2 linked regions of the Bombyx mori genome follow. The protein of the gene in region 1 binds, or shares a complex with, the protein of each later gene. Links are inferred from orthologs where the notes say so. Each region holds a gene or a part of one and is shown on either strand. Other genes may lie near its edges. The genes, in order: DNA-directed RNA polymerase III subunit RPC2 and DNA-directed RNA polymerase III subunit RPC7-like.

Evidence for each region.
Region 2: DNA-directed RNA polymerase III subunit RPC2 (region 1) and DNA-directed RNA polymerase III subunit RPC7-like share a complex: the UniProt entries of both Homo sapiens proteins name them as parts of the RNA polymerase III (Pol III) complex. The link is inferred for Bombyx mori from reciprocal best matches to the Homo sapiens genes POLR3B and POLR3GL.

Annotation. Positions count from the first base shown.
Region 1 is NC_085116.1:7,721,427-7,734,266, forward strand, and holds DNA-directed RNA polymerase III subunit RPC2, read left to right. Parts: upstream 1-116; 5' UTR 117-343; coding exon 344-418; intron 419-796; coding exon 797-1,128; intron 1,129-1,712; coding exon 1,713-1,825; intron 1,826-2,757; coding exon 2,758-2,933; intron 2,934-3,366; coding exon 3,367-3,554; intron 3,555-4,078; coding exon 4,079-4,463; intron 4,464-4,537; coding exon 4,538-4,901; intron 4,902-4,972; coding exon 4,973-5,431; intron 5,432-5,508; coding exon 5,509-6,303; intron 6,304-6,801; coding exon 6,802-6,938; intron 6,939-7,006; coding exon 7,007-7,170; intron 7,171-8,105; coding exon 8,106-8,322; 3' UTR 8,323-8,352; downstream 8,353-12,840. Other genes in the region: sphingomyelin phosphodiesterase 4, read right to left, coding at 8,769-9,098, 9,456-9,578, 9,655-9,759, 10,162-10,292, 10,669-10,886, 11,736-11,857, 11,926-12,106. UniProt on the Homo sapiens protein: Catalytic core component of RNA polymerase III (Pol III), a DNA-dependent RNA polymerase which synthesizes small non-coding RNAs using the four ribonucleoside triphosphates as substrates.
Region 2 is NC_085117.1:13,523,653-13,536,381, forward strand, and holds DNA-directed RNA polymerase III subunit RPC7-like, read left to right. Parts: upstream 1-6,473; 5' UTR 6,474-6,627; exon of another isoform or gene 6,628-6,749; 5' UTR 6,750-6,754; coding exon 6,755-7,408; 3' UTR 7,409-7,495; downstream 7,496-12,729. Other genes in the region: uncharacterized protein LOC105842656, read left to right, coding at 3,657-3,773, 4,244-4,383, 5,537-5,636; sperm-associated antigen 6, read right to left, coding at 5,689-5,760, 5,846-5,906, 5,985-6,130, 7,754-7,912, 8,220-8,372, 9,096-9,248, 9,945-10,118, 10,854-10,967 and 1 more. UniProt on the Homo sapiens protein: DNA-dependent RNA polymerase catalyzes the transcription of DNA into RNA using the four ribonucleoside triphosphates as substrates. Specific peripheric component of RNA polymerase III which synthesizes small RNAs, such as 5S rRNA and tRNAs.

The sequences.
Region 1 (12,840 bases):
CCTTGACTTGGTTTTAGTTACCAGGTCATAAAATCCCTTAAAAAAAGTATAGATGGATTTAAAAATTATTTATGGGCACGCTGTATGGGCTTAGATCCCCTTGCCTTTCTTAAAGGAAAAATTGTACCAAAAAAATATCTATGAGTTTAAAGTTTGTAATTAAATGTGCAGAATTGTGCTCGTGTTTGTTCGTTGTTAAAAATTGCACTTATTGTTTACATATGTACTCATCTGATTTGTTCCATTCTATAAAACAATTCCAAGATTCCATCGCTTGGTAAATACGGACAATATGATTTACTGCCGAAGATAGTTCAATATTACAATAGCTTATTTAATTTACATGATGGGCGAACTTAATAAAAAACAAAATGAGTGGGATACCAAAGGATTACGGGACCCTGTCAAAACCCTTGAGGTACTAGCTTTATTACTTTTCTGAATTACTACTATTGTTTTGATACACAATTGAAAAAAAAATACACGAACTATAATATTACTACTAACCAAACAACAAAATCATATAACTGTCTTTAAGATTTTGTTCATTCATTGATATTTAATCACTCCAAAGTTCAATTGTATAGTAACAAAAGTTGTAAGTGACAATATACAGTTGAGTTCAAAACCCTACCAAAGTATGATCATAATTATTTGAATAATAAAATGTATGAATTTTATAGAATAACATCATAAAAATCTTAGAAAAAAATAGTACAATTTACTGACGTCCTGATTTTATCTTAAATTTCTAATATTTCAGCTTAACACTGTTCATATGAATGTTTTCTTTCAGGATAAATGGAAATTAGTGCCTTCATTTCTTCAAGTTAAAGGTTTGGTGAAACAGCACATAGATTCATTTAATTACTTCATAAATGTGGAGATAAAGAAGATAGTACAGGCTAATGAAAAAGTATTTTGTGAATCTGATCCACTGTTCTATATTAAATATTTAAATGCCTATGTTGGTACACCTGACTTGGAAGAAGGGTTCAATATCACTAAGCCAACGACACCTCATGAATGTCGTCTTAGAGATATAACATACTCAGCTCCTATAACTGTTGATATAGAATATATTAGAGGAAACCAGAGGGTGATCAAAAATAAACAACTGATTGGAAGGTAACATCTTAAATAAATGAAGAAATGCATATTCTAATACTAGCAGATGTAATGTTGCTTGATCTATTACTATATCTTGATCTTACTCACTAAAAAGCAGAACATTCCAGGCTTTAAAAAATTCTGTATTATACATATCAAATGAATTTAACATTCTGTACTCCCAATTGAAAATATCCTATCTTAAAAACAATTCAATGAAAAGCTCGACAGAGAAATTATGTTTTATTGTTTGTCCACCCCACCCAATGTAACTCAGTTAAAAATTGATTGACTTATGGGCTGCAACTATTGATGATGTAGGAATTTAAGTAGTTCATCATCTGCCTTTTACCTATCTTCACGACACATGTCTGTCAAAGTATTAATAAAGTAGTCAAAGTAAAAACAGTTTTTGTGTCAATATCAAAGTAATAGTATCACAAATTTTTAACATGTTAATGATTCCTTTAATTACTTTAACATTAGGTCTTTGCTTATGAAGTTTAACAATACTGGCCATTTGAAATGTAATTAAATTATATACCTATTATTAACATCACTCTCATATATCATTTTGAAATCTGTATTTTGATTCTTTACAGAATGCCCCTCATGCTTAGGTCTTCAAACTGCGTTCTTACTAATAAATCGGATTTTGAGCTTGCACAGTTAAATGAGTGTCCCCATGATCCTGGAGGCTATTTTATTATAAGAGGTAAGAAACCAATTTAATTTTATACAACTAATATTAAAAAAAAACTCCAATGTATATAAATGTAAAATGTACATAAAATATTTAAATGTGTAATAATTGTAATCATAAAGTTAAATTTTATTAATTTGTTAATCTGGAGTAAAGTACATTGGGAGCCTTATATTTAGTCAGAATAAAAATAAACGAAAATTTAAATAAATATAATATAAAGAAATATAATAAATAAATATAAAGAAAAACTTTAAGTTAAAAATACATAGAATAAAAAATTTGGCAAGACTTAAAGCATAATAACCTAACATTGACCACATTAAGGTTGCATTTCACACTACATTTGGGTTTTTTTTTGTGGTCTAAATGAATGAAATACTGAGTTCTCTGTGAATATACAGTTATGAGCTAGGTTTCTAGACAAAATAATATGGTTTTAATGAAACACATTTATTAACAGTGCTCTAAAACAAAGTTAAAGACAATCAAATTCAAATTATCATTTTAACGATACTGTAAAAATAACTGCGTTTGAACGTTCAAAGAGATGATCTGATTGAGTAGCATAGCCAAAAAATATGCTAAAATTTATCTAAATTTCTAAAAAAAAAAGAAAACAGTTTTGGGATCCGAACACTATTGGTTTTGATTTCAAGAGTGACAATATTTTATTATTCGATCACTATTGCATACAGTTACATGGAGTGAATTCAGTTAGTTTTATATTGGCTTCATGTACGCTTTTTCATTTATGCAGCCCCTTTAATAGAAGTTCAATGGATGTATGGTTTTTAAAATGAAATGTATTTTTGTTTTTATTTTTCCCTGCACGAGTAGTACCTAGCCCCGTACCCGCTTGACCTTGAGTTTCAGGACACCTGTATAAGTACATATATATGTAGTTTACTTGAGTAATGAAAAACAATTTTTATTGTCTGTAGGTCAAGAAAAGGTGATTTTAATTCAAGAGCAACTCTCTAGAAATCGAATGATTGTTGATGAATTCAAAGGAGCAGTACAATGTCAGGTTACAAGTTCCACACATGAGAAGAAAACTAGAACGAATGTGATTCTTAAACATGGAAAATATGTGCTCAGACATAATGCATTGTCTGATGTATGTTACTACTTAAATCAATTTCATTTAACAAACAATAATCAAAGCTATATATGTATTTTTTACTGGTGGTAGGACCTCTTGTGAGTCCGCACGGGTAGGTACCACCACCCTGCCTATTTCTGCCGTGAAGCAGTAATGCGTTTCGGTTTGAAGGGTTGGGCAGCCGTTGTGACTATACTGAGATCTTAGAACTATATCTCAAGGTGTGTGGAGCATTTACCTTGTAGATGTCTATGGGCTCCAGTAACCACTTAACACCAGGTGGGCTGTGAGCTCGTCCACACATCTAAGCAATAAAAAATAAAAATAAAACCATAATATGTTTTGAATTGGACTTCTTCCCTTCAAAATTACAAAAGCTATTTCAAAAGCTAAAATAAATAATTTCCAATTATGTAGTTTCCACTAATTTGTATTTTTTTATATTCAGGATATTCCAATAGCTGTCGCCTTTAAAGCCATGGGCATATGTAGTGATCAAGAAATAATGCAGCTTGTAGGTACTGACGATAATACAATAAAAAAAATGGCACCTTGTATTCTAGATTGCCATAATTTGAAAATATTTACTCAAAATCAAGCTCTGACTTATATAGGAAGTAAACTAAAAGTAAAAAGGTAAGGTTTCATTTTACATCTAATTTATCACTGTTTAGTGCATATATAAATAAAAATATTTTACTACCCCGCTGTTTCTGTAAGCTTTTTTTGTAATCAAATTACTTAATAGTTACTAATTGTTTTAAATGTTCGCGACTAATAATATATTGAACGCGTTCATAATTTAATTTCGTTAAAAATCTATGCTAAATTGTGATAAAGTACGCTCTTTGTGCTGAGGAGATAGAGAAAATATGTCCAAGGAAAGTAGTCCAGTATATGACAAATTGGGCCTGGAAAAAGATATCTATATAGAACGCGGGAGAAGTTGAAATAAATCCAATTCAGCAGTGAAAGTGTACTTACAGTCTTCCATCCCTTGCGAGCATTCATATAAAAATACCGTTTGATAGATCTAATATGCTTATAGTTAAAAAATAAACGTACATTTAAACCTTAACCATTGCCATTACATATATTTAAATGCTTCCACATTTTCCATACAGTACCTATTAAAATCTATTTTTGTTTTAAATGTAAAGGTATCAAGGTGGAAACACAAAAGTACGCTCACCAATTGATGACGCTCGTGAACTATTAGCTACGACTATATTAGCTCACGTATCGGTTGAGAATTACAATTTCTACGTAAAGGCCATTTACCTTGCGATAATGGTGAAAAGGGTAATTGAAGCCGAAACAAATAAAACTGCAATAGACGATCCAGATTACTATGGGAACAAAAGGCTTGAATTGGCGGGGTCTTTATTGGCACTTATGTTTGAAGATTTATTCAAAAGATTCAACTGGGAATTGAAGAGTATAGCCGATAAAATAATACCTAAAGTTAAAGCTGCCCCCTTTGATGTTGTGAAGCATATGAGACCGGATTTGATTGCTAATGGACTGTTTACAGCCATCTCTAGTGTTAGTACAGTTTATCGATTTCTTATGGGCATTAATTACTCATTATACCATGCTAATAAGATATAATATTTTAGGGCAATTGGACAATTAAGCGCTTTAAAATGGAAAGGCACGGGGTCACACAAGTATTAAGTCGCCTCAGTTATATATCAGCACTTGGTATGATGACAAGAGTAAATTCCCAATTCGAGAAGACCAGAAAAGTGTCTGGACCACGGTCATTACAGGCCTCACAGTGGGGTATGCTGTGTCCTTCCGACACTCCTGAAGGAGAAGCATGCGGTCTTGTTAAGAATTTAGCACTTATGACGCATATTACAACAGAGTGTTCTGAAGAGCCTATTGCTAAGTTGGCCTGTAATGCTGGAGTTGAAGACGTAAGGCTGCTAGGCGGAGAAGAAATAAATCATCCTGCTGTTTACATTGTCTTTCTTAATGGTATTTGAAAAACATTTAAAAAAAAAACTCATTAAAATGTTATCTGTACTTATAGTTTGTTTCCGTTACAGGTAACATACTGGGCGTTTCTCGACAGTATAAGCGGCTGATTAAAGTTTTTAGAATGTTCAGGAGAAGAGGATTGATTTCAGCTTTTGTCTCCATATATCCCAATCATAACCAAAGAACCGTTTATATCTGCAGTGACGGCGGCAGGCTCTGTCGACCGTACATAATCGTAGAAAGAGGAAATACCTTAGTGCAGCAATCTCATTTAAATGAATTAAATAGAGGTATAAGAAAATTCCAAGATTTCTTAAATGATGGTCTTATAGAATATTTGGATGTAAATGAAGAAAATGACAGTCATATAGCAACACGTGAAGTAGATATTGATCCGTACGTCACTACTCATCTAGAAATAGAACCTTTTACGATATTAGGTGTGTGCGCAGGCTTAGTACCATATCCACATCACAACCAGAGCCCTAGGAACACATATCAATGTGCTATGGGTAAACAAGCAATGGGTAAGTCTGAAATATTTTGGAAATTACATCATTTATAATTAAAGTTTATTCACAGAATTAATTATTTAATCTTTTAGGAACCATAGGGTACAATCAAAAAAACAGAATCGATACTCTAATGTATAACCTTGTTTATCCTCAATGTCCAATGGTGAAGTCTAAAACTATTGAGTTGATAAATTTTGATAAACTGCCAGCTGGTCAGAACGCTACTGTCGCTGTAATGAGCTACAGTGGATATGATATAGAAGACGCTTTGATTCTAAACAAAGCTTCGATTGACAGAGGATATGGACGTTGTCTAGTTTATAAAAGTGCGAAAACAACAATGAAGCGGTACAGCAATCAAACATCGGACCGAATTTTGGGACCTTCGAGAGATGCAGTTACAGGAAAAGTAATTAGAACTCATGATGTTTTGGATTCTGACGGCATTGCAGCTCCAGGTGAAATGGTTGAAAATAGGCAAGTTTTAATAAACAAACAGATGCCGCCGGCTACGATAAATCCCGTCACTCAAGGACAACCGCAACAAATTGAATACAAAGATGTACCAGTTACATACAAAGGGCCAGTTGAGTCATACATCGAAAAGGTTATGGTATCTTCAAACTCCGAAGATGCTTTCTTGATAAAAATCTTATTAAGGCAAACCAGAGTTCCAGAGATCGGTGACAAGTTTAGTTCTAGACACGGTCAGAAAGGTGTAACTGGCTTGATTGTGCAACAAGAAGATATGCCTTTTAATGACAGAGGAATATGTCCTGACATGATCATGAATCCCCACGGCTTCCCATCTAGAATGACAGTGGGAAAAACCATTGAGCTCTTAGCTGGAAAAGCGGGATTATTAGAAGGAAAATTCCATTATGGTATGTATATAGGTTACAAGGATATATTATTATTTATGTATCTTAACGTATCGTTTGAATTACGGAAATTTATAAATTTGATAGCATAGATTCTTATTATACGATATTATGGGATGAAGAAATTCATTCGTGAAGCTGTTATGTACCGCCACCCTACCTATTTCTGCTGTGAAGCAGTACCTACTGCGTTTCGGTTTGAAAGGTGGGAAAGCCGTCGTAATGTTAAAACTGCGATCTTACAACATATATCTCGAGGTGGGTGGCGGCATTTACGTTGTAGATGTATATGGGCTCCGGTTACCACTTAACACCAGGCCGTGAGCTCGTCCAACCATCTAAGCTAAAAAATACCTGAAAAGGTGTCCGTATTTATTAAAGAAAAAAAGGTGACACTCGAGTCATTTCAATTAGTCTGTGTATTTCGTCTATTTAACATTAGTCACAGCGAAGCGTGGTGTCTTAGTTTTAAATGAAAAATAAGTAAAATGTCCATTTTAGGTACTGCGTTCGGAGGTTCCAAAGTACAGGACGTTTGCAAAGAATTAGAAAAACATGGTTACAATTATCACGGAAAAGATATATTTTATTCGGGATTAACTGGAGAGCCTTTAGAAGCTTATATTTATTCTGGTCCTGTGAGTATTTCTAATCTCAGTTATTTAAGGAACAAGACAACAACTGCAGACATTTAATTTTCAAACAGGTATACTACCAGAAGTTAAAGCATATGGTTCAAGACAAAATGCACGCCCGAGCACGCGGACCTAGGGCGGTTCTGACTCGTCAACCGACTGAAGGACGCTCTCGCGACGGAGGACTTCGGCTGGGCGAGATGGAACGAGATTGTCTTATTGGATATGGCGCCAGGTAAACACTAATATTTGTATATGTAAGTATAAGTAATGACGAATTTGAACTCCATATGTCCCCTGAGTTTCTCGCCGGATCTTCTCAGTGGGTCGCGTTTCCGATCCGGTGGTAGATTCTGCGAAGCACTGCTCTTGCCAGGGTCAGTGTTAACAACACTTCCGGTTTGAGCCCCGTGAGCTCACCTACACGTCAGGGTAAACCTGAAGTAGCCTCTGCTATCAGCATAGGTGGGAAAAAAAGAAAGTAAAAAAAAAAGAAAAAAAAAAGCCATACAGATTTATGTAATATGAATAACCTAGTTAGTTTGTACCGCGATTTAATTATATGGCACCTTTAGAATTGAAATGGTTTAATCCAAAATTCTTGTTTTTTTGGTAAACGACAAAAATGTAATTGAAGAATTATAGTTTTTTAGTTTCGATTTTAATACTTTACGCCTTAAAGCACATACCGTAAAGTTTAAGGTACCTATTCGCGTGATTCAAAAGAGACAGAAAGCGTACCTTGTCCTTTTCTACACTAAAAGAGATTGTTTAATTTTATAAACTGACTAGCTGTACCTGTCCGCGTCGCTGGGCATTTAAATTTAACATTATTTTTTCTCACCCCCATAAAGATTCTCACCATTAACGCCCCCGCAACTGGTGTAGGGAGTCCAACACTCATATAAATATTAGCCTATTCATCAAGTACATGTATTTTCTACATGGATACCAAGTTTCAAGTCAATCGGATGCATGGTTCAGTAGTTATAACGGAACATCCGTAAAAACCACTGTAGATTTATATATTAATATAGAAGTATAGATAAGGATACATGTTTAAAAGTCATTCAAAATATCTTAAAATTTTTAGTAAAACCACTTCAATTCTAAAGTTGTGATATGTTATGAAACTTTTACAAATTATTAACTTGAAATGTATTCCGCCAGCATGTTGATCATGGAGCGGCTAATGCTGGCCTCGGACGCGTTCACCGCGGACATATGCGGCGCGTGCGGGCGGCTCGCGAACCGCGCCTGGTGTCACACTTGCCGGTCATCGGCTGCGGTTTCCAGTGTCGAAATGCCGTACGCTTGCAAATTGTTATTTCAAGAACTAGCTTCAATGAATATCGTACCTAAGCTTACCCTAAAGAAATATTCCTAACAGACAATAAATAGGTAATGATTCTGAAAATAGTTTTAATTTTATCGACGATTTTTCTACCCGCTACGGTTGAAATAGGTACCAGTAAGTGTTGGTATGATTAGTGTTAATGGTCATTCTGTATGTAAAAAAAAACCCTTGCATACTTCTGCCGCGAAGTAGTCATTTTAATTTCGTTATTCAAAACGTCGGGGATAACGAAATTGCAATAGCATAAGTAATCTAGAGAACAATTATACATAGATTATAAAATTATAAGTTCATAACATGATAGAAGTGAGCTCCTCATATATCAACTACTTATATGATCTATAGTGAACTCGTTCACCAATCTAGGGCATTTTTTTTTTGCAAAGTCTAAATAAATTACTGTGATCCATTATTGTTACGGTTTAAATAAATAAAGAGCAGGTTCAAAAAGGTTTTTAATATAAAAAATATTAATCTTAATTTATTCGTATTACTTTTAACATCTTGAAACTTCCCTTGATAAATACATACGACAACCATAAAGAAAACAATATTAATATGTAACTAAGGCCACTGAAAGAAAACAATCTCATAATTAAATAGCCAACAGTTATCCAGAAAATGAACGCCTGTGAGCCAAGTCGTCTTAACAGTAACCTTGGGGGTAGATCTTGCCGAATAACACGATAGTGGTTTGTTATGTCTTTAACATACGTTTGGATCGTACATGGCTTCTGTAGTACTTCCCGAGCCGCGTAACCCCAAATGTCTTGTCGATTCCACAGGTTTGTGAACGTTGGTTCATACTAAAATATAAATCATTAAATAAATAAAGGTTTGTTTATTTAACTGTGTGGATAAGCGAGCAAGCCCATTTTAAGACCCACGTGAAGCGAAGTCCATCAAGAACACAATTTGCATGCCTCACATATTAATGTATTAAATCAAGACTGAATTTCTATGAATCACATTTCTTCTAATGAATACTTTTATATAGAGACATGGGTACGTAACAGTAAAAAGCTTAAAACGATTAGTGGTAAAAAGCTCCAAACAGTTACTAACACAAACAAATCAGCAAACAAACAGAAGAAAGGTGATAAACTGTTTTGTCTTTGCTAATTTATGCTTAACTAGAATGTTAATCTATTGACATAACTCACCAATTCATTTATTTTAGTTGAAATTTGATGCAGTATTCTGACTAAAATTGTACTTTCATAGGATGCTATAGGCATGAGGTCTGGATTACCCATATAATGTACATTTGTTGATTTACTTCTCAGCTGTAAAATAGTATATATACTTTAGTATACTCTTCTTTTATTTTTTTAATTGGATATCATTTCTGTCAATATTTACCTTGTTTGTTATAGAAAATGGAAAAGCAGTTGAATTTACAAATGATGAGTTTTCTAAACTGTCATCCGCAATTGGTTCTGAAGGGAGTAGTAGTGCTTCACTTAACTGAAAAATTAAAATAGCTAGGTATACACACACGCTCATAAAACTTCCTTCTTATATATATACAAGCAGCCCGCTCCGGCTTCGCTCGGGTCTTTTTGACGCTGTTTTTTTTTTTTAAATAAATAACTATAATAGTTAGACATCTGCTGTCGCGACACTTTTTGTAAATATTATAAAAAAATATTATAGGCTATGTCACTCGGAAATAGTGTAGCTTCCAAACAGTGAAAGAATTTTTCAAATCGGTTCAGTAGTTTCGGAGCCTATTCAATACAAACAAACAAACAAATCTTTCCTTTTTTTAATATTAAGTATAGATTAAAAATTATGACTCTGGCAAAGATTACTGAGCTGCAGTTCGGTGCGGTATTGTTAGCTAAATGACAATATATAAATGCTTACACCAAATATAACTGCAAAATTGTGTATAGATGTATTTAAATAAGTTGGCACTTTTTTTACTTCTTCTAGATGTCCATCACTTTCATCCTGAGTGGCTATCATTAGCCAGTGCATTAAAGATGACCAAAATCCTAAAACATAGTTGAAACTGTGTAATAATTAACTATTTATTATCTGCTCATCTATAGCATAATATCATTGAATCGTTCACATGATCAAGTGTAATAGAAAATATAATTTGCATAATTACTAGTGGCAGCACGACTTGGGAGCCTGCTAGGGTAGTTACCACCGCCTATAGTAGGCATATTTCCTACCACGAAGCAGTCATGCGTTCCGGCGTAAATGGGATAGCCGTTGCTGTAAAATTGTGATTTGTACCTCATGTTTCTAAGTGGATTTACATTTCCGATATCCGATAAGATTCAGTAACCGCTTAAAACTAGGTGGCCGTAAGCTTTTTCAAACGTTTACGTAATAAATAACTAAATACATACGTTTATTTACCTTGATTGCTCATGTCGATTTTTTTACTAAATTCTTCAACGTTCTTTTCCGCTATAGTTTTAGCAGAAATAATTTTCTTTACAAATTCTAAAGCAAAAGATCGCATGTTATCATTCCATATAGGTTTATATTCGAAATTTTCAGGCATATTGAATTCTGATATTGCTTGTTTCGCTATCGCTACCCATTTTTGCAACGACACTCCGTTGTATGTATAACTGTAAAAGATGTTGTTGAATCTTTATAATTAAGAAAGAGCTTTTTTTTTTCTTTTTTTTTATTTATTGCTTAGATGTGTGGACGAGCTCACAGCCCACCTGGTGTTAAGTGGTTACTGGGGCCCATAGACATCTACAACGTAAATGCGCCACACACCTTGAAAAGAGTTGCGAGAATTTGCTGCATTCAAAATACGTAATCACTGGACGTTATCGGCTTTTAATGTACTCTCTTTACTTGTCGAGTGCACGGTCTATTTCTTTGATGATATGGCCTTTTTCGTATATATTTAAATATGTATGTCTATATCTTATTATTTCGTATAGTATAACTGCTTAATAAAGTATAAGTCATTAATTTATAAAAAAAAAAAAAAGAATCAAAGTGGTTATTCAACATTGGATAAGCATTTCGTTGATGGTTGGGCTGACATTATAAATAAATAAATATAATTATTTTACTAACAATCACGCCACGTTAACTGGTCCCGTGATAAGATCGTAAAGAACTTGTGTTACAGGTACCAGATATCGGAAATAAATGTAAGATTTTTATTATACACATACATATATTTACATTTATATTTATCATACAAATATCTTCCCTTGGCGGGATTCGAACCCGCGACCCCCTGGTGTAGTGACCATGTCACTTACCACTACACCAGACGGACGTATTCCAATTGAAGATTTCGACCTCATTTCTCAAGGGAGGTGGCGTCAATCATATTATGATGTCTATGTTTTAACACTAGATTATTATATTATTACTATATTAACACTAGACGGGCCCTGAGCTCTTTCATCTATCTAGGCACTGAAACAAACTGTTTAAAAACAATAGTTCACCTTTGATCAGTCATTGAATTGCTAAAATTTAAGTCTGAACTGTGTGTCACTCCAGATCCACTATCCAGAATTGCATGTTCTAAGTTCCACAGAATTGGTACTAAATGCGGTTGGGAAAACACCTGCACAAAAAAAAATCATCATACTTTATGATGCAAACGAAAGGCACGTAAGTAAAACAGAATATTACCTTTCCCAATCTAAAAAGCATCACAGCATTTTTGTACGTCGTGAGATCCAATCTCATAAATCTTGGCAGAATCAACTGAAAAATGCAAGTGTATGATGGAAAATTCTCGGCAATAAACTGAGTAAAGCTGGCATCGAGGGTGTGTGTTGGATTTTCATCTTGATGGTTGTTTGATGGAAATCTGAAATAAACAACATACTTACAACCAGCTGCATGTTTAAAGAAGAGTATACAGTTATGCAGTTAAGATGAAAATTCAAGGTTAAAATAATTATTATTATCAATTTACTACTATCAATTTTATCTCAATATCTGAATATTGTTCAATATTATATATCTTTTGATTGCACTATATGTACAGACAATTTCACTGCCGCCCCAGATTCAAATTGTTAGAATAGAAACAACACTTTTTAATTCTAGGGTCAGCAGACTAAAGCACATAAGTCAAAAAACTCTACTTTACAGGAATTAAAAAAAACTATTTAGAATCTTATACATTAACAAACTTAATCATGTTTATTTGAATTATATAAGTCTATAACACTAACTTATTATTAAAATTAAATATTTTAAAGTAAATGTGATTAATTAATAATTAGATGACTTAAGTTATAAGGAACACAATAATAGTATGAGTTAAGTGAAAAAGATCAACAATTAAGATATATATTATAATAATATAAGTCATAAATATAAATAACAACTCAATGTTTAAATAAAATTCTTCTTCTTCATCGAGTTCTAAAATATCTGGATCAGTATTTCGTAAAGTTTTCAACGTGGGAAGACTTATGTAAAATTCATGGAAAATATCTGGTATTAAAGGGAGCAGCGAAATTAAATCAATTTTTTTCTCGATGGATATGGGTAATGGCTGTATAGATATTATATCATCAGTTTGAGAATCCCCTA
Region 2 (12,729 bases), on another chromosome or scaffold:
CATTCTGTCCGCAGGATCGGGAATGTAGTTACCGGCGGCCACGATGAGAGGGTTCTCGTGTCGTGCCGCTTTATCGAAGTGGCGCATGGACGCCGACTGCAGATACTTACTGATGGACACTAAGTCCAGGTCGTCATGGAGGTCGACATTCCTGACGAACCACGGGGCTCCGACGGCTATCCTGCAAAAACGGGATTGAATGACTTGGAATGATTTTAAGTGTATGCGGGCCGCGTGAGCGAACACTACACTTGCATAGGTCATGACGGGGCGTATGCAAGTTTTGTAGAGTGTCACCTTATTTCTAAGGGACATTTTACTTCGCCTACATATCATCGGGATAAATTGTCAATATTCTTAATAAAATTCCTATTAATAATATACAAGTGCAAATGTTGAGCTGCTTACCAGAAATGATATAATAGTGTTTTGTTTTTTTGTTGTTTCCTTGTAGGCTGCCTGTAATAATCTAAATCTGTGTGAAAGGCAATAAATGATTTTATTATTATCTACTAATGGTAGTCCAGTGGTCGAAATTTGACCATAATTTATTTAAATTTTAAGTTTGAACATTATTATAGTTCTATTGTCACCTTTCTATTATCATCATTTCTATAATAATCATTGCTCTATGTCGCCAAGGCTACATTATAGAAAAATAATATTAAAGACAAAAAATATTAATCTATTCTCAATTTGACCACAGATTGATAAATCAATAAACAAAAAAAGTATAAATGCATGTTTGTGTGTGTGTGTGTGTCAAATACATGGTAATGTGTGTAAGGTTTTTTTATTCATTTAGTTTATTTTTTTATTGTTTATGCACAATTAAAAAAAAAAATTAGCAATCTGCATTACTTCTCTATATTCTCTATAAGTGTGGGAATTTTCATACTTCTCCGTCCGCGCAATTTTCGTAAAAAGGAGTACAACATTTTTGCTTCACGTATTACCTACTTAAATTGTAGGTTCTTAGTACTTAATACATAAGTACTTAATACATAAGGGTTTTGAAATATAAAACTAATCTTAAATTTTTTTAGTTATACCACTTCCATTCTAAGGGTGCAATTTCGTAAACAAACTTTGCCGTAATGGCGTAACCTTTAAAATACACGAAAACTGCCCAGCATAAACATATTTTTTTAGTAACTTTAATAGAAGTATTAGAATTAGAAGTTTATTATAGAATTTATTTAATTGTAATGACATATTTAGACATACCTACTTAACATAATTAATCTTGGAATAGGTAATTATTTCAGCTTTTTTTAATTAAAGAAATTATGTTTTACATAGGTTTAATCATTTACCCGTTGAACGTTTATAAAATGATTGTATTTACGGTAATAGTGTTGATGATCTTCATTAGGTGGCCCAAATATACTAAAATTATTACGAGCATCTATCCTTATTTATAAATGTGTAAAGAAGCAAAATTATTATTACATTGTTTAAATTTCTATATAATTTATAAATATAAATCTGTACGTATGTATCTGTAAATATGTATATTGCGCGCGCGTGTGTGTGTGTGTGTGCGCGTGTGTATATATTTCTATAATATATACACACATATAAATCTGGAATTCATTTCGAAATTATTCTTGCCCATCTAATGGTTGTCTGGAAGAGATCACTCTTAGCGATAAGACCAAGAAAGAATGTTTCACAATATTTATTCATTTTGTGTACAATAAAGAATACTCTTTCACTGGTGGTAGGACCTCTTGGGAGTCCACACGGGTAGGTACCATCACCCCGCCTATTTCCGCCGTGAAGCAGTAATGCGTTTCGGTTCGAAGGGTGGGGTAGCCGTTGTAACTATACTGAGACCTTAGAACTTATATCTCGAGGTGGGTGGCGCATTTACGTTGTAGATGTCTATGGGCTCCAGTAACCACTTAACATCAGGTGGGCTGTGAGCTCGTCCATCCATCTAAGCAATAAAAAAAAAGAAAAAACTCTTTCTCACTCTCTCTCTCTCATCAAACAACTCTTTAAAAAAAAGCAATGATTTAATAAGAATTAAATGAAATAGCAAAGAATTAATATGTATTTACAACTAGCTAGACGTCTATAAAATTTTCTAACCGAAAAAATATATGTGTATAAACCATTAGAATAGATAAAACCTTAAAAAACAACATTATTAATAAAAACGAAAGAAAAAATCTTGATATTGTATTGGTTTCACGGCAAAATTTTTAGTGACTACTTAACTTGCTTGAAAGTGAAGAAATACTCTCAAAATCCATTAATTTGCAACTCGCACTCGCACATACAATAATCGAGAGCCTCACTTCGGTAAAGCTATTCGATACATGAGACAGCAACATAAACAAACCTTCTCTCTCCCACAAAATGAGATTCATAAGCTTACCACTAGGTGGCACTGATACAACCTCACACAAATTAAACATAACATTAACATCGACTGAGTAATTAAAAAAACTCGCACTAAGCACAGGTACATTACCCATTACCCGACTAATTATAAATATCGTTAGAAAGCTTGGCATTTCAATTAAACGCCTTAAAAAAAACCTTGCGTGCTACCAATATAAAAGAAAAAAATATCGCTTCTCAAGATGAATAAACGTCCTGCAAATCGAGTAACTCGCACTCAGAGCTCCGCACGTTTCACCGTGAAGAGCGTACACTCGATGCGAGTCATTCGATTCGATTTTTGAAACTCGCACTAAGCCTACAGTAGTCTTTGCTTGAAAGAGTAACACATACCTATCCATCCATAAATCTTAACAAATTTCATATAAATAATAAAATTATAATTTGGATCTGAAATGAAGAAACATTAAAAGTAGATATTATAATATTTCGACAGTCCTAGCCTCCAAAAAAAAATGGCAAAGTTCATTCACATCAGCAAAACTTGTTTGCTTGGTTTTGCCAATAGTGATTTAATAAGACTAAATTGCTTTATAGAACGTAAATTACCATAACTTTGATGAAAAAAACACTACTAAGAAAGTAAAATCCACTTATTTATTTACACTAAACTTCCGGAGCACGTAGTTACCACAAATTTAGCAGATGCATTTAGCAACCGCCAAAAATGACAATTCTTTCAAATCTGGGTTGTCAAATCAAAATAATCAAGATGTCGCCAATCAAATGTTCAAAAGTAGTTCATTGCAAATGTTATAGAACATAAAGTTTTGACAAAGGTACCTTTTAAGTCGGGTCATGGCAAATTTAACAATCTTTGACAAAGTCGCCAGGTTTCACGGTATTTTGAAGATGGCATAAAATAAATTTGGCTGATTATCAAACTTAAATTGGTTTTTTTTTTTTATTGCTTAGATGAGTGGACGAGCTCACAGCCCACCTGGTATTAAGTGGTTACTGGAGCCCATAGACATCTACAACGTAAATGCGCCACCGACCTTGAGATATAAGTTCTAAGGTCTCAGTATAGTTACAACGGCTACCCCACCCTTCCGCTTTTTGATCTTATTGATCCTTATTGATCTTTTCCGTGTACTTTTTCCACATAGTAGTAGGTACAAAGTGAAACAAAAATATAGCTTGTTTATTGACTTGTATTATTTTATCACTTTAGTATTGAAGACTTACCATAACCGGTAGATAACGACAGTAAGATAACAGCTAGTTTCCTGTCCACAATTATCATGTACAGTTATTCAGTTTGTGGTGGACATTTGGTAGTATACCTTCATCATTTAAACATGCATTACATATTACTGACTGAGCTAGAAACTGTTGGATACACTTCTTGTAAAATTCAGGTAGCTTGTAACCACTAGTATACTATTAGATACGTATGTCCTCTCGACTAAAGTGGCAATAAGCAACAAAGTATATGTGTTCAAGTGCATTTAAGTATACCTACCTTATTATAGGTAATAAATATTTTCATCACCAGTCCAAATTATTCAAAAAAGTGAAATTTTCTATTTTAAGACATGTGCACCACAGGAGAACGTCTGTCGAGTCGAGTAATTGTATATATCAAACTAAAATTATTGTTTTATGTAAATCTAAAAGTACTAATAGTTTTTCTCATCCAATTAATAATACATCACATGCGTCAATTCTTTATTGCGACTTATAATAACGTACCTGCCTCTTATAGGTCTGCAATAGTGCTATTTAAAATGCTTACAAGTATGTAGCCAGTTTAAATTCCTCCCTGGCGATTGTGTGTAATGGCCAATAGCTTCCACAATAATTCGTTTTCTCTTTTTGTAAATCACAGGGTTTAAATGCAAATGAATTAGAATTACTAAAGACGAATTTAATACGACATGACATAAAATTCCTTCAAAACCAGAATTTTCACGAGATCGAAGCGTTGGGTGTACGCATGTTAAATCTGTTGGCTGAAAATGACTTTAAGTGAGTATATATAAACTATAAGGAACACATCTTGAAGTAACTTCGTCAAAGGTAGCTTAAAAAAGTTTATTATCTTATCTTATACCATCTCCTTGAGACTAAAAAGTCTGATGGTATAAGATAACAAGGATGCGATGCAGTGTGAAATATCTAGTTCCAATTTAAGAGCTTAAGAATTCTTTTTTTTTCTTCAAGTTTGTAGGTCTAAATAAAATATTTATATTTACTAAATTCACGCTCGTAATTATAACTATCTTTACCTATATATAATTCTACTGTACGTGTGTATGTCACTGAACTCCGCCTGGACCGATTTGAATGAATTTCTATTCGTTTGGGTGGCGCCCTGGATGGTTTAGATTCACAAATCAACCCCGCAGATGGCGCTGCAGTCGGTATCTAGGTTATTTCTCTTTCCTAAAAACCCAAAAATTTAATGGCAAAACAACCTTTGCTGGGTCAACTAATATTTCATATATGTGTACCTATTATATATTTATAGTTAAAAAAATAGAACACTGATAGCCATGCAGATCTATTATTCTTACCAAAGTAAAATAGGGGTAGTGACGCAAGAAACGTTTGGAGAGAAAGTAATCCCTACTGTCGAAACGGGTTCCGATTTTTAAAGATAATGCTATAATTTATAATTATAATATAAATTCTCGTCATCGCGAGATACATGAATCTGCTCGTCTATATATTGGCGCGTCTAACGTAGCCGACTGAAGAAACATTTAGATACCTACGCTTCTATTTTAGACACTATCCATAACTTTACAAAATAAGTTAAAAATATTGGAAAACAGCGTTCTCTGAGTGTTAAACAACCGTATTGCGATTGGTAATTGATATAAATTGGTTTATATTGACGTAATGTACAATCGCATTCTGAGTGTTTCTATCGCGTAGCTGTCCTGCATTCTAGTTTGAAGTGTGGACCAGCAGTACCAAAATGGGCCCTTAGACCTTTTGTCACCGACCGGGTGGTGATATTCACGTTGTGATGTCTTTGGGCTCAGGTAACTACTTAACGCTAAATTGACTGTAAGCACACACTCGTAGCGAATTGGATAATACCCTCTAAATCGGGCAAGATTTTTACCGCAGATAAATCGGTCTGTGTACAAATTTAACCATAATCCTATTGCAGTTACAGAGTATTGACTCAATCAATGGTAATAGAAGAATCTAAGATTGGTGGAAGAAATGTACAACTACAAAAAATTGTTTGGACTATGTACAAAGAATGAAAATTGAAACAGTATTAATAAATTGTATTTAACAACATATAAGAAAAATAAACTAATTTCTTTTCTCTATACTCATTTCGCTTTGGCAATCACTCGGCACCCGATCAGTAAAAAGTTCTGGTATCTATTCAACAAAAGAAAGTTACATGTTAATACATGAAAACTACAAGTGTCTATCGAAAATATATACATAAGAGTTTATTCCATACTTGTGGTGTATACGCTTCAACTCTATCCAGCAAAGAATCTGTGTAGCCGGGAGTATAATATCTGAAAATGAAAAATGTATAAAAGCCCACAGTTGAGATTTGAGTAGGACAAATTTTCTTTTAGTAGGTAGTCTTTTACCTTACTATTTCTTCAGGGAAGCAACTGTTTATGATATTAATATACTCCTTCAGGGACGTTCCGGGCACTGTTTCAATTTCTTGTATTCTTTTCAATGCTCCTGTTGTAACAAAAAGCCTTCTAGCTCTTGCATCGTTGGGTAGAATCTGAAAAAATAAAACGAACATAAATAATCTACTTCCTTATACTTTCATTATAATTTGTATAATAATTTCTGAACTGAACAGTTTTTCAGAAATTATGAAACTCCATGAAATTTAAATGGTACTTGCAAAAGACCCTAATAAGAAAAACATACACATTTCTTGGATTTAGCCTGCAAGAGAATGATTCGCACGTATATTTTGTTCTAATAAATGATGAACCTCATTACGAATTACTACGGTAATTGGTTCACGTTCTTCAAATGATGAAGGCAATATACATAGGCTTATTTCATGTCATCTCTAGTTTATTCTTATTTCACGCCATAGTCAATTTCAAATTATCAATAATTCTCATACTGCTGCATTTTACGTTTTGAAAAATAAATAAAGCCACGATTTTTTTTAACGTTGGCTGTATGAGCTACGTCTCTATTACCTGATTTATGAAAGAATTAAACGAAAAAACATCCGATTCAAAACAATAACAAATGAGTAGGGTACGTAGATACCATAGATTATACACTTAATATATTTGAGATAGGTAGATACCATCTGGAGTTTCAAATTTAAATAGATTAACTATCACCAAATTGTTTTCTGATCAAAAAATCGATTACAGTTACAATGGCAGGTAGAGGACGAGGACGCGGGGGTAGCGGTTTATCATTAACTACTGAGCAAATACAAGCCTTAGGTGTGACACGCGGCGACAATGCTCCTCCAACACTTGTGCCGCCACCACTGTTTCCAAAACTTGAGAAAAAACCACTACCTCTTATATGTGATGCCGCCACTGACTATATGCTCATTGTCAAAGATCAGTTCATTGAATATCTACACGAATCACCGGCATTTGTTAAAGTCAAAACAGAGACTGACGGTGTAGAGCGATATTCTGATAAGTACAAAATGTTAGCACTTGATGCGAAGCAGAATAAGTTATTGGATTGCGTGTGGGTTAACATGCCTACCGAATTACGGCCTCAAGCAAAACGTCCGCGTACTGTTCCGAGGAAAAGAAAACTCGATGATCCCGAAGAGATAGCAAAGAGATTACAAACGCTTGAAAAAAAAGAGACTCTGGAAACAGATGAGGCGATAGACGGCAAAAAAAAAGAATTAAACAACGAAAACGTAGATGAAGAAGAGGAGCTGGAAGATGAACATGAGCAAGAATACGAACTAGATGATGGTACTGACTATGCAAATAACTATTTTGATAACGGGGAAGATTATGAAGAAGAAGATGATAATTTGGATGATGGACCTGTTTACTAGGAAATATATATATACAAATTTATATTACACAGTTGAAACTGATTGATCTTGCATATTAAAAATAATTACAATTAACTGTTAATCAAATAGTTTTCACTTTTAATTTTTACTTTCAAATATTCTTTATTAGCAATTTGAAAAACAGTCCCGCCTGGTAGAACTCTTTAAAAAATAGAAATAAATGAATATTTCAGCGAAAGAAGTTTACTACTTAAGTAACTGCTACATCATATTTAAACGAATCAATCGTTAATCAATCGAAAAATCAATCATTACTGATTACTGGAGCACTGTTTCATTTGAAATAGTGTATTATTGTTATATTTGCCTAACTAGAATAATTACCTTTGCATACTGAGCTAGTACATATTTCAATATACAAGCAGGTGCAGAATGTAACAATGTCTCTAATGCAGGTCTATGTAGACAGCATTGTAATGCCTGTTTCAATGCACATGATGTCCGAGCTTGTACTTCTCCTGAAGACTTTGGGTTTGTGTAAAGCTGTAAAATTAAACTAACGATGTTTAATTTAAATATAATTTAAATATACTTTAAATATTGACATCTATCTACGTATATAAATGAAAAGATTATAAATGTGCTATTTGCACATGTATCAGACAAGTATTAAAGACTGATGACAATAATATAGTAATTTTATTACTTTGGCTTAATATTGTGATCAGAATTAGTACATCGAATAAAAAAAAAACGTTATGTCAATTTTAATTCTGCTTGCTGTTAATTTTTAAACCACAAATACTTTTACATCTAAACTAATCTAAAGTAAGAATGAGGTCAACCTAACTTGTAACAGTCTAGGTAGAGCATTGGCCACAGCAACAGCCAGACTGTGTTGTGGTGAGTGTTTTGCGATGTGGCCTAATGTCCAAGTAGCTGCACACAACTCTGCATCTTCTGCATCTTTCTTTTGTAGAATTTCAACAAGTGGTGTAATGGCCTAAAATTGATAGATACATTTTTTTTATTTATAAAACCAGAAAAGGCAACACAACAGGTCACAATTTGTGATGATTGATAACTTAAATAGTGTAGTGAAAAAACTTAATAAGATTATTTATTTCATATTTTTTTTTAAATTCAATGTTTCATAAATTGACTAATAGTCTCAGTATTACCAGTTTTCACTCATAAATATATATAATAAGTTATGTTTATGGCATCGACATAGGTATAAGCCGTGACGGATTTAGGCTTGATGGCGCCCTAGGCCCTGTTTATCGCGCCGCCCTCAATGTTTGAATAAATTTTATTAATTTTGATTCAATATTTTCATTTTAAATTTAAATTATCTTTATTTCCTTAAAATATAATTTTTGAATATCATCATCATCATCAGCCTTTATCTGCCCACTGCTAGACATAGGCCTTCTCCAATGCCTTCCACAGCATGCGGTTCTCCGCCTTCCGCATCCAATGACTTCCCGCTGTGCGCACTAAGTCGTCGGTCCACCTGGTTGGAGGACGCCCCACGCTCCTGGTACCCATCCGTGGCCTCCATTCGAGGACTTTCCTCCCCCACCTGGCGTCGTTGGTTCAACAGACGTGACCGGTGACCGGAGACGTGAAATTAAGTTTAAAAGGTATAATATATATAAAAGGTATAATATAAATATTAATATTTTATTGAGTTGTGTCAAACACAAATGTAAACTTTATTCACCTTCGATTCTATAACTGCCATTGCGAGCTGATCTGATTGCCCTGCAATAAATCCTAGTGCCATACAAGCTGGGACTCTTGATCCACCCGTACTCTCTTTTAATAGTTCGACCAAAGGACCACATCCACCAGTGTTCACTACTAGCTGAGCCAACTAAATAAATTGCAAATATTTCATAGTTAGGTATTAGTAAGATTATGGATTATTTCTTTCTGTTTTGATTTTATAACAAATAACTGACTAATCGAACGTAATGCTATGTTTTTTTTACCCAATTATTTAACAAATAACAAGTTTAGTAAATAGGAATTAAAGTAAAATAGTTTGCTTTCGAATCTCTTCTTTCCGTGAATAACATTTGTGATCACTTCATACGCGCTGATCATGTTGCTCTTAAACATTATTTCGTTCACAACAGTATCATGCGCTGCTCGGAACCTACCTTAGAAGCTATTTACACTAAAACTCTACCGATATCAATTCATCGCAAAAAAAACCTGATAAATTACTAATATAACTTAATCGTCGAATTCACGTGGGATCGGTATTAACACTGCATTACGATTACCTAGCAATAAATTTATATAAAACCACTAGCTGAACCGGCAAGGCAGACTTCGTAGTTCCTCAATCGACAAATAAAACACCTAAACTTTTGCATAAAATAAACTTAAAACAAACAAAAGGAATCCGTCCGACGTCCGATTTTCATGTTTATCTACCTTTTAAACCTCTGAACTTCCACAAATAATTCAAGACCAAAATTAAGCAAATCGGTCCAGCCGTTCTCGAGTTTTAGCGACTAACGAACAGCAATTCATTTATATACATATAGATATAGACTCTCACATCGACCGAATGCTTGACAATGTCCCTCAGTAGACAGGCTGCGGCACGCCTGACTGGCGCTGCGTCATGGCCGGCGTGCAAGAGGGCGGCGGGCAGTGCACCACCAGCCACTACTGCTTCAGCCAGCTCAGACCGTGCGCTGGCCACTGCACTCAGTGCGCATAGTATACTACGCTGCATTCCCAAATATTTCAGTAAACGTCTGTTATTTATTCATCACTAGCTGACCCGGCAGACTTCGTAGTGCCTCAATCGATAAATAAAATACCTAACCTTTTGTATAAAATAAACTTAAAACAATCAAAAGGAATCCGTCCGACGGGGGACACATCAAAGGAAAAACAAAATTGTTTTTTTTTATTTCATTCCGAGCATTTTCAAATTTATCTACCTTTTAAACCTTCTCTGGACTTCCACAAATAATTCAAGACCAAAATTAGCCAAACGGGTTCAGCCGCTCTCGAGTTTTAGCGAGACTAACAAACAGCAATTCATTTTTATATATTATATAGATTTTTCAAGCTACTATCAATATTTTCTAATCTTTTTTTTAATTTGAAATTTGCAGTAAAATTCACCCTAACCTATTATTATGGCCATATAGAATAATTTCGTAGCATTGGAGATTGCGAACTCTTAGTTTAACGTTAGATTGTTGATAATACAATCAATATACATATATATCAATATATACCTACCTACTTTAATCCAGTGATTTGTAGATGCCTAAGTAATATTAAACGAAGTTGAAGGGGACATAAGAAACTAAAACGTTCATATTGATTATTTCTGAGGTTGCTTTTGAAATTAAAATTCAATGCTAAAACCGGCGATTTCATTTTACGGACCATTTTAGGGGTACAGAGGACTATGTCTAATTCGTAACTCAATTATAACATAACAATACACCTTAAGCTTAGGATCCTGATTTTCTAGTCCGTGTACCAAATGAGAAATAGCTCCCGCATCGACTACTGCTTCCGGCTTATGTTGAGCCAAGTCTACGAGGGCTCCTGCAGAAATCTAAAATTCATTCAACATTATGTAAAGAAATCATGATAACTAATGAAAAGTCACGAAAGCCTTTCGTCGAAAGGAAGTCACTGATGGATACAGAAGTAAATAAACTTATATTAAAAAATTAAGAGGGTTTTCACATAAAACTTTAAATGAGAAACTTCAGCTGAGTTCAGCCCAATTATAGGCTAATATCAGCCGTATGATTGAAATTCGGTCGTAATCACAGGCACTTCAAGATGTATATTAATTGTACATAAAATGATTACAATTCTATGTTTGAATTGTTATTTTACTAGATTTTCAACAGTAGTTATTATGAAGTGCAGTGTATAGTAAAAGGTTTAAAATTAATTAAATTCAAAATGTTAGCCATGACTATCGATAGGTATATCTCAATTATTAATAAAATTCTCATGTCATCCTTATCCCACAAACTATTATTAATAATGTTGGTTTATGTTACGTACAAGTAGGTACCTGCTTTAAACTTATCTCAGGCTCCTGGAAAGCGAGTACTAACAAGGGTAGTGTGCCTGCATCTACAACCAAACCGGCCAATTGCTCACTGTGCTTTCCAATGTAACCTACTGCCCAAGCCGCATTTTCTTTAACCTGAAAAAAAGTTTTGAAGTCGTCGTGGCCTAACAGATAAGACGTCCGGTGCATTCGTGTTGAGCGATGCACCGGTGTTCGAATCTCAGGCGGGTACCAATTTTTCTAATGAAATACGTACTCAACAAATGTTCACGATTGATTTCCACAGTGAAGGAATAACATCGTGTAATAAAAATGAAACGACGACCCACCACCCTGCCTATTTCTGCAGTGAGCAGTAATGCGTGTCGGTTTGAAGGATGGGGCAGCCACTGTACTATAAAACCGAGATATACAATTCATATCTCAAGGTGGGTGGCGGCTTTACGTTGTTGATGCCTATGGGCTCCGGTAACCACTTAACACCAGGTGGGCCGTGAGCATGTCCACTCATCAAGGCAATAAAAAAGGCGACTAAAATGAGATTGTTTCGCAATTTCTACATAAATTGATTGCCGTCAGTCAAACAGTACCATATATTGTCAAGAACAGTATAGATATGGTTAAAAATAGTTTTGAGATTGAATTTAGTAATTATTAATTAGAGCCGACACATTCTTTTACAGCCTCGAACATCTCAAAGTGGTTATGGTTCATAAATTATTTATCATACCATAAATATGGTTACCCGTCACTTAGTCTTGCAGGTAAAGGTATGATTGACGAAGCAGATATTGTTTGAAATGATTTCATCATCTCCTTTTGTCGTTACATAATCATTAGATCAGAGTTCATCCCCAGAACCACGATTGCCTGGAACCGCTGCATTCATACCCAGTACATCTCTAGAGATTATATTTGTACATCCGTAGGTACGTACGGTTCTAGATTGAACTCCTCTCCTAATGTTGTTTCCTGGGCACTAAGTATAACATATTATCTTTCTTCAAACAAACTGCGAAAAGAGTCCATGGCAGTGGGTAGCGGCTAGTTATCACCTTGGCATTAATGATTTTTACAGTAAACAAGAGTGAATTTTCTCCATCAGTGTGCTTAGTGCGAGTTTTTTAACGTTCTCGATAGCGTAAAAGTTAGCTCATATTTGTTATGAAATGGGATCGTTTGCCTACTTACGTTTGCCGCTACTTTTGGGCACTGTTCCAACTGCATACAAAATTTGATTCACTTTTAGGCTATCGAGAACCTTAAAAAACTCGGACTAAGCACACAT